3 linked regions of the Nothobranchius furzeri genome follow. The protein of the gene in region 3 purifies or fractionates together with the protein of the main gene of each other region. This does not show direct contact. Links are inferred from orthologs where the notes say so. Each region holds a gene or a part of one and is shown on either strand. Other genes may lie near its edges. The genes, in order: foxm1, lin37 and mybl2b.

Evidence for each region.
Region 1: the proteins of mybl2b (region 3) and foxm1 purify together in Homo sapiens (affinity purification with western blotting; 3 studies listed by BioGRID and IntAct, with this or other methods). This does not show direct contact. The link is inferred for Nothobranchius furzeri from reciprocal best matches to the Homo sapiens genes MYBL2 and FOXM1.
Region 2: the proteins of mybl2b (region 3) and lin37 purify together in Homo sapiens (affinity purification with mass spectrometry; 6 studies listed by BioGRID and IntAct, counting the BioPlex papers as one, with this or other methods). This does not show direct contact. The link is inferred for Nothobranchius furzeri from reciprocal best matches to the Homo sapiens genes MYBL2 and LIN37.

What each region holds. Positions count from the first base shown.
Region 1 is NC_091741.1:41,405,856-41,410,124, forward strand, and holds the start of foxm1 (forkhead box protein M1), read right to left. Parts: upstream 2,826-4,269; 5' UTR 2,711-2,825; coding exon 2,697-2,710; intron 2,616-2,696; coding exon 2,134-2,615; intron 2,057-2,133; coding exon 1,914-2,056; intron 33-1,913; coding exon 1-32. Other genes in the region: rhno1 (RAD9, HUS1, RAD1-interacting nuclear orphan protein 1), read left to right, coding at 3,758-3,919. UniProt on the Homo sapiens protein: Transcription factor regulating the expression of cell cycle genes essential for DNA replication and mitosis. Plays a role in the control of cell proliferation. Also plays a role in DNA break repair, participating in the DNA damage checkpoint response.
Region 2 is NC_091745.1:37,814,238-37,818,601, reverse strand, and holds the start of lin37 (protein lin-37 homolog), read right to left. Parts: upstream 2,814-4,364; 5' UTR 2,161-2,813; coding exon 2,127-2,160; intron 1,992-2,126; coding exon of another isoform or gene 1,988-1,991; coding exon 1,912-1,987; intron 1,842-1,911; coding exon 1,791-1,841; intron 1,673-1,790; coding exon 1,643-1,672; intron 1,193-1,642; coding exon 1,107-1,192; intron 1,028-1,106; coding exon 867-1,027; intron 351-866; coding exon 219-350; intron 99-218; coding exon 28-98; intron 1-27. Other genes in the region: proser3 (proline and serine-rich protein 3), read left to right, coding at 3,203-3,213, 3,284-3,380, 3,503-3,723, 3,804-3,934, 4,070-4,113, 4,354-4,364.
Region 3 is NC_091743.1:41,540,875-41,543,919, reverse strand, and holds part of mybl2b (v-myb avian myeloblastosis viral oncogene homolog-like 2b), read right to left. Parts: intron 2,763-3,045; coding exon 2,620-2,762; intron 2,077-2,619; coding exon 1,977-2,076; intron 1,885-1,976; coding exon 1,774-1,884; intron 1-1,773. UniProt on the Homo sapiens protein: Transcription factor involved in the regulation of cell survival, proliferation, and differentiation. Transactivates the expression of the CLU gene.

The sequences.
Region 1 (4,269 bases), on a different chromosome or scaffold from region 3:
ACAGCTTCTGCACTGGCGTATGGACCATGTGGCTGCAAATAGTCACAGAAAAAACACAAAGAGAATCATCTATATGTGCAACAATCATAGAGGATATTTTATCCAACTGAAGAAGAAGAAAGTATCATTTCTACAGCGCCTCTCAAGATAAAAATCACGAGGCGCTTCACAAAAACAAAAAATGTAAAAATAGAAAAAAGCATTTAGAAGATGTTTAAAAATATATTAAAATGAGCAAAAATAGACAATTGTGATTAAAAAAATGTTAAGAAAGAGAGAGAGTGAACAGGAAAGAGGGAAATCAGTGGATCCTGAGGAAGGTGGAATAGGTGAGGAGAGCAGAATAAAGAGAGAGAGGTGAAGAAGGTCATACAAAAGCCAGCTTGAACAGGTGAGTCTTCAGCTGCTTTTTAAAGGAGACCCCTGAGTCCACTGATCTCAGGCTCAGGGGGAGAGAGGTCCAGAGTCTGGGGGCCACAGCAGCAGATGATCTGTCACCTTTGACCTTTAGCCTGGTGCTGCACAACCAGTAGGCTTTGATCACTGGACCTCAGGGACCTGCTGGGGGTGTAGGGACTAAGAAGATCACCAATGTAAGATGGTGCTTGTCCATGTAAGGCCCTATAGACCAGAACCAGGATCTTGAAATGAACCCTGAAGTTGACTGGCAGCCAGTGAAGCTGGAGGAGAAGCGGGGTGATGTGGGTGTGTTTGGAGGACTTGGTCAGAAGCCGAGCACAGGCGTTCTGAACCACCTGTAGACGGTTCAGGGAGGTTCTGCTCAGACACGTGAAAAGAGAGTTACAGTAGTCTAAGCGTGAGGAGATGAAGGTGTGGAGCACAGTCTCAAGTTCAGAGCGGGACAGAATGGGACTCAGCTTAGCAATGTTCCTGAGATGGAAGAAGGAAGAGCGAACAAGAGAACTGACATGAGAATCCAGGGTGAGAGCTGGGTCAAAGGTCACGCCAAGATTCCTGACGGAAGGTTTGGTGTGAGAAGTAAGCTGACCAAGAGAGTCTCTGACTTTGGGAACCAGCTTGTCTGGGGCACAGATGAGGATCTCAGTCTTATCTTCATTCAGCTGTAGAAAGCTCCCAGCCATCCAGGTTTGATAGAGTCTAAGCAGGTGTGTAACAGCTGCAGCTTAGACATCTCATGGGGCTTAAAGGAGATGTACAGTTGGATGTCATCTGCATAAAGATGGTAGGAGATTCCTTTGAAGGAGCTCAGGATGTGCTGAAGAGGAAGCAGATAGAGGAGGAAGAGCAGAGGCCCCAGCACAGAACCTTGTGGGACACCATGGGTAAGGGAGGTGGTGGAGGACCTAAACTTGGAGACGACCACAGAAAAGGAGCGCTCAGAGAGATAAGAGAACCACTCCAGAGCAGTTCCTGATAGGCCTACCCAGTCTCTCAGCCTCTCCAGTAGCAGGTGATGGTCAACAGTGTCAAAGGCTGCAGTCAGGTCCAGCAGGACCAGAACAGAACAGTCCCCTGCATCGCTGTGAGTCAGAAGGTCATTAGAGACCCTAAGAAGTGCTGTTTCAGTAGAATGAGCTCTACGAAAACCTGACTGGAAGCTATCATAGATGTTATGTTCATCAAGAGCAGCTGTGAGTTGTTTAGCCACAACCTTTTCCAAGATCTTGGAGATGAACGGAAGTTTAGAGATGGGTCTGAAGCTGCTCCAACTGTAGCCCAGAGTGATGAATTTTTACTGAGAAATACTAAAATATTTAATTTCAAATCCAACTATCTAATTAAAAAAATCATATTTAACCTCCATTCTAATTGTAGCAACCAAATAAGCCTGTAAATCAGTCAGTAGTTCGTCTGTGGTTTTAGGGGACACTCGGGAGTCCTGTCAGAACTCAGTAGGCCATCTGCATCACACAAAAAGAAGCAAGACTGACCTGTAAATTCTGGGATGTTGGAATCGATTTGTCTGTCGTCTGTTCTTCAGAATCCGGCTCTAGGGCACAGGAGTCCATCTTGCCCAGCCACTGGATGTTTGTGAGGCTGTCGTCTAACGGGCTGCAACTCGCTTCTTTAATCACTGATGAAAGAGAAGAGTGCTTAAATGGACAATGATATGGGATGGTGAGATATCAGAGACAGCATAAACTGTCATACCGTATTTACAGCCAGATTGATGATCAGCTTCAGTGTTGAATGTGGCTTCCGAGCTTACAGATTGTCCAACTGGACTCCTCGTAGGAACAGATTCTTCTCTGGCAAATTCTTGACAAGAAGATCCATTGTCCCGGCTTCCACTCTCACTCAGAAGGATGAACTTGCTTGGACCCTGGTCACCACACTCTTTACTTTTTGCAGTAATGGCATCAATAACAACCTGAAGATCCACGTCTTTGGGGATGAAAACCACCTGAGTGTCAGACATGGATGAATGACCCATGATGTGGACACCATCTAGGAGGCACTGACTGGCAGCTGGTTTTGAGGATTCTTTGGAGCTTGAAGCAGCAGATGGAGAGCGTGCGTCAGCTGCTTCATTTTGCTGAAAAGGTAGTTTTCTTCTTTTCAGGATAAGGGGTCTCCTCGGACTCCTTCTCATGGTCAAATCATTGAAACGTCCATCCAAATTCACTGGTAAGCTGTGGGAAAAATAAAAAAAATATATATATATAAAAATAAAAAATAAAGAATATTTTAGGAACACATTTTTTTTTCTTTACCTTGCTTGCATCATATCAGAAAACCGTTGTAACGCAAATCACCGGTGGAAAGTTAAGTTGTTATTTTACGTGTCTACGTATCTATTAATATTAAAGCACACGATTAATTCATGTTATATTAAAACACGCTGTGGGTTACGCTATTAAGACAAAAAGTTCCGACTAACGTATCCGTGTTACGGCTCAGTGGTTATCCGAGGTTTTATTCCTTGGCAACTGGAGAATTCAGGCGTTAAATTCACACCGGAAGTATAATTTAACGTTTATTCACAATGACATGGCTAACCGTTGTATACGTTGTAAATAGTATTTCAGGTTATGACACAATGACACGTTTGAAGCTTAAATTGGGCCCTAACAACACCATGTCTCATCTAAGAAAATGGGTTTTCAGCTTAAAAGCCCGATGCTACCACTGCTGCTGGTGGTAGCTTCTGATTGCTAACAGCAAAGCTACTAAATAAAGCCAGACCTTCATATTTCTTGTTTCAGACGGCTCCGCTGGTTTGAACTCCAACGCTGATGTTGTGGAGCACTTCGCTCGTATTACATTTTTGATAAAAGATATGTGACAGCTACCAAGCCTTTATTACAGGTTGTTTACGTGTCAAGTCAGAAACCGTTTTTGAATTTTGGCGCTGTGGGTGGTGTCCCCCTTCATGTTGATCACGTGGTAAAAACGGGCCAATGGGAACAAGAAGCTCAACGGACAAGAAGTACTCTAGGGGGCGCTAAATCACCCACATGCGGCTGCGCAAGTCGGAGAAAAGACGACAAAGAAGAAACCCGGGAAGTAGAAACAAAAGATGATTTCATGAATTGACTAACTGTTGTTTGTTTTTAACTTTGTGGGACGATTTGAATATAGTGTCCAAAGAACAACAATGCAGTAAGTATTAACCCGAGATAGAGAGAAAGCATTTGGATGTATACAATTTGATGCATGTTAAGCGTAAACATCCGTATTCTGTTAGATAGTCTGACAAAGGCAGACATTAATTGAGGGGTTTTACTAATCTATTCCTTACTTGTCATCAGATGTTCAGGAAATATTTAAATCAATGCCCCGCAAAGTCTCAAAGACAGACAAGCCTGCCCTGACATTCGTGGAGCGGCCTCTGGGTGGCGCCAGACGTCGACATTTACCTGAAGTAAGAGCAGCAATTAATCCCAGGGATTTTTTCAACGAGACACAGAAGCACAGCTCAACTCTTGATTCATGGGTAAGTATTTTTGTGTTTATTTATTTAGAAGACGTTTAAAGGTGCATGGTTATACTTTCTTTGGTGATGGGGTTAGGGTTAGGGTTCTGTCGGAGGGATAAAGTACCAAAGACAAACATTGGAATTTACAAAATGATCACTTTTACCTTTAATTCAGTTTTTATAAGCAGCATTAACCTGAAGGCAGACATGCACCTATCACTTGATACAATTACCTACATGCAATTTGTTTACTTTCAAACTCGGATTTATTTATATCTATATATTTTATCATTTATTCTTTTTTTCTTCACTCATGAATATTGTGAACAGCCACAGCTTGTTCTGTTGTTGTTGTACAATTACAATAC
Region 2 (4,364 bases), on a different chromosome or scaffold from region 3:
TAAATAAAATTTTTCCTAAGAACTTACTTCTGCCTTATCATTTTCCAGCGTTCCAAGTGGTCACTTATTAGGGATTCTGACACAGGAGCATCACTTGACTGTGAAAAGAGTAACCTTATTCACCATTTTTATACATCTGAAGATTTGTACAATTCTATTTCTCTCTCTCACACACACACACACAAAACGAAGAGAAAAAAAATGTAACGTTCAAGCACCTTTGTAACGATGGGTTTTTCAATTTGTTGAATCCTGAGATTGATGGGTTCACCTGAAGGGCTAACTGGGCTGGGAGCAGGAGGGGGGAGTCGGTACACATTCTGACCTTTGCCGTTTATCATGTCTGTTACCTGGGGCAAGGATAGAACACAAATAACAGAGAGCTCAGGTATGATGGCTAAAGAGATGGTGCAATACTGCCATCTTTAGGGGACTTACTGGTAAAATCTCGACTCATTTCAAAATTCATAAATTTGTTTTAGGCAATGAAAAAACACACAGTTTGTAAGTTTCATTAATATATTACACTGCTTTTCAAACTCGATGCACTTAAAAACCATTAACTTTTCAAGGAAATTACACAAACATGCAGACTGACAATCACAAGTTAAATTTACAATTAAATAAAGTTCATAACTTGGTAAACAACAATTACAATAATAATAATAATTTAATTGTGAAGAGGGGTAGGAGACAAATATTATTTTCACACAAATTGTGTACAATGAAACTTATTTTAAACAATTAAATTAGAAGAAATATTTTGTAAACTATACACACTTTTTCTCTTATGGTTGTTTTGCTTTCATTTCCTTTAAACAAAATTAAATCAATTAAATAATGATGACAGGAATGTGCAGCCTTACTTCTTCCTCCAACATGCTGTGTGGGGAGTTTGGGGAAGCTGTTGGCTCTCGAACAGAAGGGTTGTTTCTCATCCAGGCACGGCAAATTGGATATAAAGGGGTGCTGGTGTTAAACTGAGCCAAATCAACACTGCGATCAAACAACTTAATAACATAAGCATCTAGAACAAAGGCAAAGGAAACACACATCAGGGTAAATAATACTACCGTGTCATTTAATGGAATGTGAGTTGAGTTTACTTTGTTTATGCGGATTGGTTTCTGGTATGCCCTCATCCATCTCCTTCCGTTTCTTCCTTCGATGCTGTGGAAATCTTGCTGAAGGTCTGAAAATAAAATGAAAACAAACATGAGGACTTGCAAAAAGGCTTAAAAAACTGAAATATTTTCTGTACTAAATAACTGAATTCATATAACGATGTGTGCAGATAAAAAATTATGCTGCAATAAAAAAAACAAGAAAATCAAGTATGTGTATGAGGTATTTAGAATTGTATGAGGTATTTGAATAGACTTTACTGATCCCACAGTGAGGAAATTTACTTGTTAGGGCAGCACATACACACAGACATAGGAAAATATAATACAGGTAAACACACAAGAGTATTGGGCTATTACCATAACCTTCAGCAACAAAATAAATGCATAAAAACAGAATAAAATAGAAAATTCATAACTGTTTTCAAGGAGAAAAAGCATAAAAGACACATATAAATGTGCATCTCTGGGTATTGCACATTTATTGCGCATTTACAGAACATAGTACTGATTATTACCTCTTTCCAGCAGAAGATGGAGACAAATCCCTAGAGATAACAAGAGCATTCCATGATTGCACTGAAACACTGTTACAGCTGTTTAAAAATAAAGTGTGAATCCTTCTTCATAATAAAAAGATAAAATCACAAAAAAACTAATCCATACTTGTGCAAGGAGTCCACTGATAATTTTCCTGGATCACCCTCATTTGGTTCTCTGATGAGAGTACAATTAAAAGCATTTAATCATTTGAAAGCATAGCTATGGTCAAGTGTGTTTTACTAACCTCTCATTTTCGCTCTTCTCTACAAGACCCTTTAACACAGCATCCAACTTGCTGCGTGCAGCGGTGTTCTCTGCATCTAGGTAACATAAAAAGCAGATCGATTTAGAGCTAGGTCTCTCGTTTTTGGGCTCTAATGTTATGTATATTGTATCTTTAAAGCAAGCACAAATAGCGAACGAAATTATAACCAATGTTATATTGTGGGTATATCTCACCTAGCCGTTCAGTCTTTATCTTGATGTGGTGCATTGTCTTCTTTTCAGCACTTTTGTAACCTTTTTTAATGTTGAAATTAATTCTTGTTTGATCTCTAACAAAGGGTCCTGGTATCCTGGCTGCAACGGCTGTTTGCCAACAGCACCATTAGCTGACTTACATAGCAGCGCTTAACCAACTGATTATTCGTAAAAGAAAAAGTGAAGAAATTCTATGGCAAAAATATTATTTTATCCTAATGATTTAGACAAAACAACTTTCAATAATTTGCTTCAAATAGTACAGACAACTGGTTTTATTATTCGAACTGTGGAAGGTATTAGCTCAGCTATAGTTGCTAATGTAACTTCAGCTTGCTTCTACAAACTTCCGCGTAACAGGTGTTACCCCGAAATGTGTTCCCTGGTTGAAAACCGTTCCCACTTGGTAGTGTTTTAGCCATCTCCCGGTAAAATGTGTACTTTTTTCCGAGATACATAATAAAAACACAAGGGATGTCTATTTTATGAATTAGTGAGTCAGTTTTATGAGTGGCGTAACCGCGAGCTTATGTCTCACCTAAACACAGAGTTTTTCCCCTCCTGCCCTGATGATTTGTTTGCCGTGCTGGAATGCACAAAAATAACATAATAGATTACTAAGATATTATCTGGCTATTTTCTTAAAATAACGTTGCTTTAAAGACCAGAGATTAAATATAAAAATGAGTGACGCAGGGAAAGAAAACACTTCCGGCGGGGAACACATCTTGATGTAACACCCGAATAGCTGATTGGTGCTTGTTCAAACCACTGTGATTGGACAAATGACATGTGCGCCATTTTAGCGAGGATTTTATTGGCTGAGTGGTGTGGCAAACACCAAAAAAGCGTGACGCTTTTGTGTTTTGTCACCCTTTTTATAGTTTTATAAACTTAGGAAATCTGAGTCTGTAGTAGATGCGGCTGCGTGTAGCTGTTTTAATTTCCTAACTTAAAGGTGATTTGTAGCGTTGGAGTCCATGGTAACTCACGACGCCTAGTGAGAACACTAGGGTTAAAACAAGGAAGAGAACATTTTCCGTTCTTCAATAGTTATGAAATCCAGGTAAGATCCAACAAGCTCCTTTTTATACCACCATAAACAATAGTTTTATCTCTAATGGTTGTTTTTATAGTGGATCTGTGTTTGCAAGGAAGAATCCCTTCACACCTGCATCCTCTGTGAGAAGAGCTCATCATCCATCCCGCAAGCAATCCCTGCCAAAGACAGATGTATGTCAGCTTTGCCAACATTTCTTACCTTTACTCATGTTTGTGTTTTTTAGTCCAGCATTTGGGACGTGATTTATTTTATTTTAGTATTATTATTATTATTATTATTATGCTCTTTGCAGAGTCCTGTGCATCCCAGCCAGAGCTCTAGGAAACAGTGTCACTCCCAGAATGGAGGAAGCCAACAGCTACAGGAGAGTCACGATGGTGGAGATGTTTTTACAGAAATCTGGCCCACCACTGACTACAGGTCCTCTCCTGAAATGCTGGCGTGCGATCTGCCTGCCAGACCAGAGACATCAACAGTTTCCTCAGGAGTTCAGGATGATTCCGTGATGGCAAAGTAAATCTGCTGGTGTTTTTTCACCGTAGAGATGATTGAATTTGTGGGCCTCACAAAGCCATGACGTGTTTTTGTTACAGACACATCGAGCGCTTTGGCCACAGTCAGCCTCAGAAACGGCAGCAGGTGGCTGGAGAAGAGCAGATGCCGTTTGGGTGGATGTTTAACTCATCAGTCCACAGTTCAACTCCTACTAAAGCATCAAACAGTGGTATTATTTTTAACTTCTGCTGTGTTTAGTCACACGACACAGTAAATATTACAAGCTCGTGGGTTGTGTAAAATTTCTGTGACAAACTTTCCGCTGGATCCTTTCCCATGCCCGAACGTGTCCTCCCTCTGAAAGACGGCAGCCCAGCTGGACCGCATCATGGTGACAGATCCATCAGCGTGAGTTCACTGGGATCCTCCTTGACCTGTTGTGTTCTTTCCACTCTGTGTTGGTGACTTGTTTGTGAAATGTTTTATAAATAAATGTGTTTAGTTTTTGAATAATCATAAAAGAAAAATTGTGTAGGCTATAAGTTTACAGCGTGTCCTAGTTTATGCTAACTTCATCTGAATGCCGGAGACAGTTTGTGTCCATGGAAGAACCTTGTGGACCTCTGTCTTTTGGTTTTTCTACTTTAGATTTTGTCTGA
Region 3 (3,045 bases):
GCAGAAATAAACATGTTCACAGCCTGGTACCAAAACATGTTTTTGGTTTAAATTATCTAGTTTACACTCATGACAACTCTGAGGGGGGTGAATTTTTTTCTCACTCTTCTGTTTAAGTGTATTAAAAGCCTAAAATTCTGTATAATTAATGAGCATCCGACCCACGTGACCACAGAGCTAGCTCCGTGGAAAGGCCTCAGTAGAGCCTCGGTCTGGCCTGGAAACTGTTCCAGGATTTTGAGTCTCTGTGTGTGTGTATTCTTTTTTGGATATTTTTTGTGCAATTGTTGGACAAAATGACTTGCTGTGGCATTAATTGCACTAATAGAGCATCCAAGGAGCCTGCACTTCATTTTTTTCGGTAAGTAAAATTATATTTATGTATTTTAGGTCACTGCCGAGCTGAGCTTAGATTTTAACACGTACTGTTTAACCATGAAATTTAAATGTAATAGGGTAAAACCCAGTGCATTTAACATAATGCTACACTTTAGAAAATGGGTTGAAATATAACATGTTGGTGGAGCTGGGTTCCCACTATCGGCTTGTGGAGCTCTCGGGAGACCGATGTTTTCCACCCGTTCTCCCCTCCCTGCAGCTCGGCGCATCTCGGTCTGCTGCGCGGACTGCCGGCTTTCGGCAGCTTTTGGGAGACCTCTGTGTTCCACCCGGTTTTACCCAGCGGTCAGTCCGGCGTATCTCTGACTCAGAAGCTCTGGTGTTGTGCACAGTTAACTCCGGTTGTAGCTAGGTTGCTACCTCCGTTAGCTTAGCTCCCACCTCCGCATTAGCTTCAGGTTAGCTTGTAGCTAGTTCGACCGGGTGTCGTCAGTTGATCCCAGCCTTACAGCCCCACCCTCAGCTCCACCTCTCTTTCCTTTTGTGGAATTGTCTGGGCTTGACGGAACCTGTGACACGGTCAAAATGGCGGTGGTGGCCACCTCCCATTTTGGCACAAAAGCGTGATATTGGAGCCTATGGAAAGGAGATGTCCACGTATATTTATGTCAAAGGCATGGACCGAGGTTTTCTTAGAATCAGGAACATTTCCAGCACAGGTACAGAACCATTAGTACATTTGCTCCTACTGTATACGTACAGAGATCGTGTTATTTTTTATCTTCTACTTTTCAGTTGTTAGATCAGGAATCTAATTTCGTTGACGATAATATTTTATTCTGGATATTTTAATTACAGATTAGTTTTATTTGGCAGCATTTTATTTTTCAGATTACCGACATCATTTCATATGGAACAAACCCGTCTCAACAGAAAACGACGTGTTTTAGATGCTGAATTCACGACATGCTGATTACTCTGTGAAATTATGTATTTGAATGTTTTAATTAAAATACACCAGCGTCAACTTCACCCGTACAAATCCAGCAGCTGATATTCAGCATGGCAGGTGGCCTGACCTCCTAGTGACCAAAGCACTCGTCACCTCGTTGAGCCGCGTGGCTTTTAGTCAATCGGGTTACGTCTCTCTGACCACGTGACGCCAGGAGGTGGCCTTTTTTTTAAATGGATGTAATGTTTGCAGGTGTATTGAGGTAAACAAACCCAATACAGAATGTCACACAAATAAAACATCATAAAGTCGTTTCTTCCATGATTTTACTACCTCTCTGAATCCGCTCTTTCCCGTTAGAGTGGGAGGAGCTACAGCTTTCTTGGTGCTCCTAACTCCTTGCTGCCTGTAATTGTTCGGTTTTACTTCCTCTCTTATAAAGCACGCTGCTTCACGCCTGACTGGAAAAAAGCTCTCGTTACCGCTGTTTTGCGCCGTTGCTCCGGTGGAGTGGAACGCATGACGACCACATTTATCCCCGCATCTCTGAGGATGACTTCGTTAATATCGTTTTCAAGGTTTGGAGTCTGGGGCTGAGGAGACCAAACAGGAAATAGCAGAAATCAAACACAGAAGTAAACCAAACACCTACCAGCGGCTGTGAGGAGACCGGGGCGAGACTCACCAGAGGATGCAGAGCGCCGTACTTCTCCATGGCATTCTTGAACGGTGTTGGGGTTCGTGGCGTTGTGCAGATCCCAGACTTGTGGTTCGGAGTAACAAACCTAAAATACACACAAAAATAAGGTCATGAGTGAAAATAAAAACACTGATCTGTTCCACAGCAAAGCAGCAGGGCCTCACATGGACAAGCACCATCATACATTGGTGATCTTCTCAGTCCCTACACCTCCAGCAGGTCCCTGAGGTCCAGTGATCAAAGCCTACTGGTTGTGCAGCACCAGGCTAAAGGTCAAAGGTGACAGATCATTTGCTGCTGTGGCCCCCAGACTCTGGAACTCTCTCCCCCTGAGCCTGAGATCAGTGGACTCAGCGGTCTCCTTTAAAAAGCAGCTGAAGACTCACCTGTTCAGGCTTTGGTCGGACCTTCATCACCCTCTCCTTGTTCCACCCGTTCCACCTTTCCCGGTTTCCACTGATTAGCTCTTATTCATTTCCTCATTTCTTTCCTTACATTTTTTATTTTTCTCATTTTTGTGATTTTTCAATCACTTTTAAAAATCTTTTTTATTTTAATTGAGACGATTTTTTATCTGGTGAGGCGCCGCGCTACAGAAAACATCTGTCCTCTCTTCTTTTTCACTCACATGGATTTTTCCTTCTGCGTGAGCGGCGTTTTGTCCCGCTGCAGCGGCGTGGTGACGACGACCTTCTGGCTGCACACGGGGGTGGACGTGAGGGACGGGTTCTCCAGGTCGTGCGTGTCCTGCTTGGTCCACATGTTCAGGAACTGAAAACAACAAGTCAGGTCGGCAGATTTTGTGCCTCTAAAAAACGACGTTTAGTAAAAGAGGAGATTAAACGGCCATTTTATTTATAAAGGCAGCAAACTCCAATCTTACAATAAAACGATTAACCAGTTGTCACGGCTTTGGGACAAACATCACTTCTGACATCTTTGTAATAACCAGCTTCATGCTAATAGGTCAGTAATTATGTGTGTGAGGCTTTAGCTGGGCAGTAGAATAAATACACACACATTTTCTGTACATCAGCATCGGCCCCATAAATAA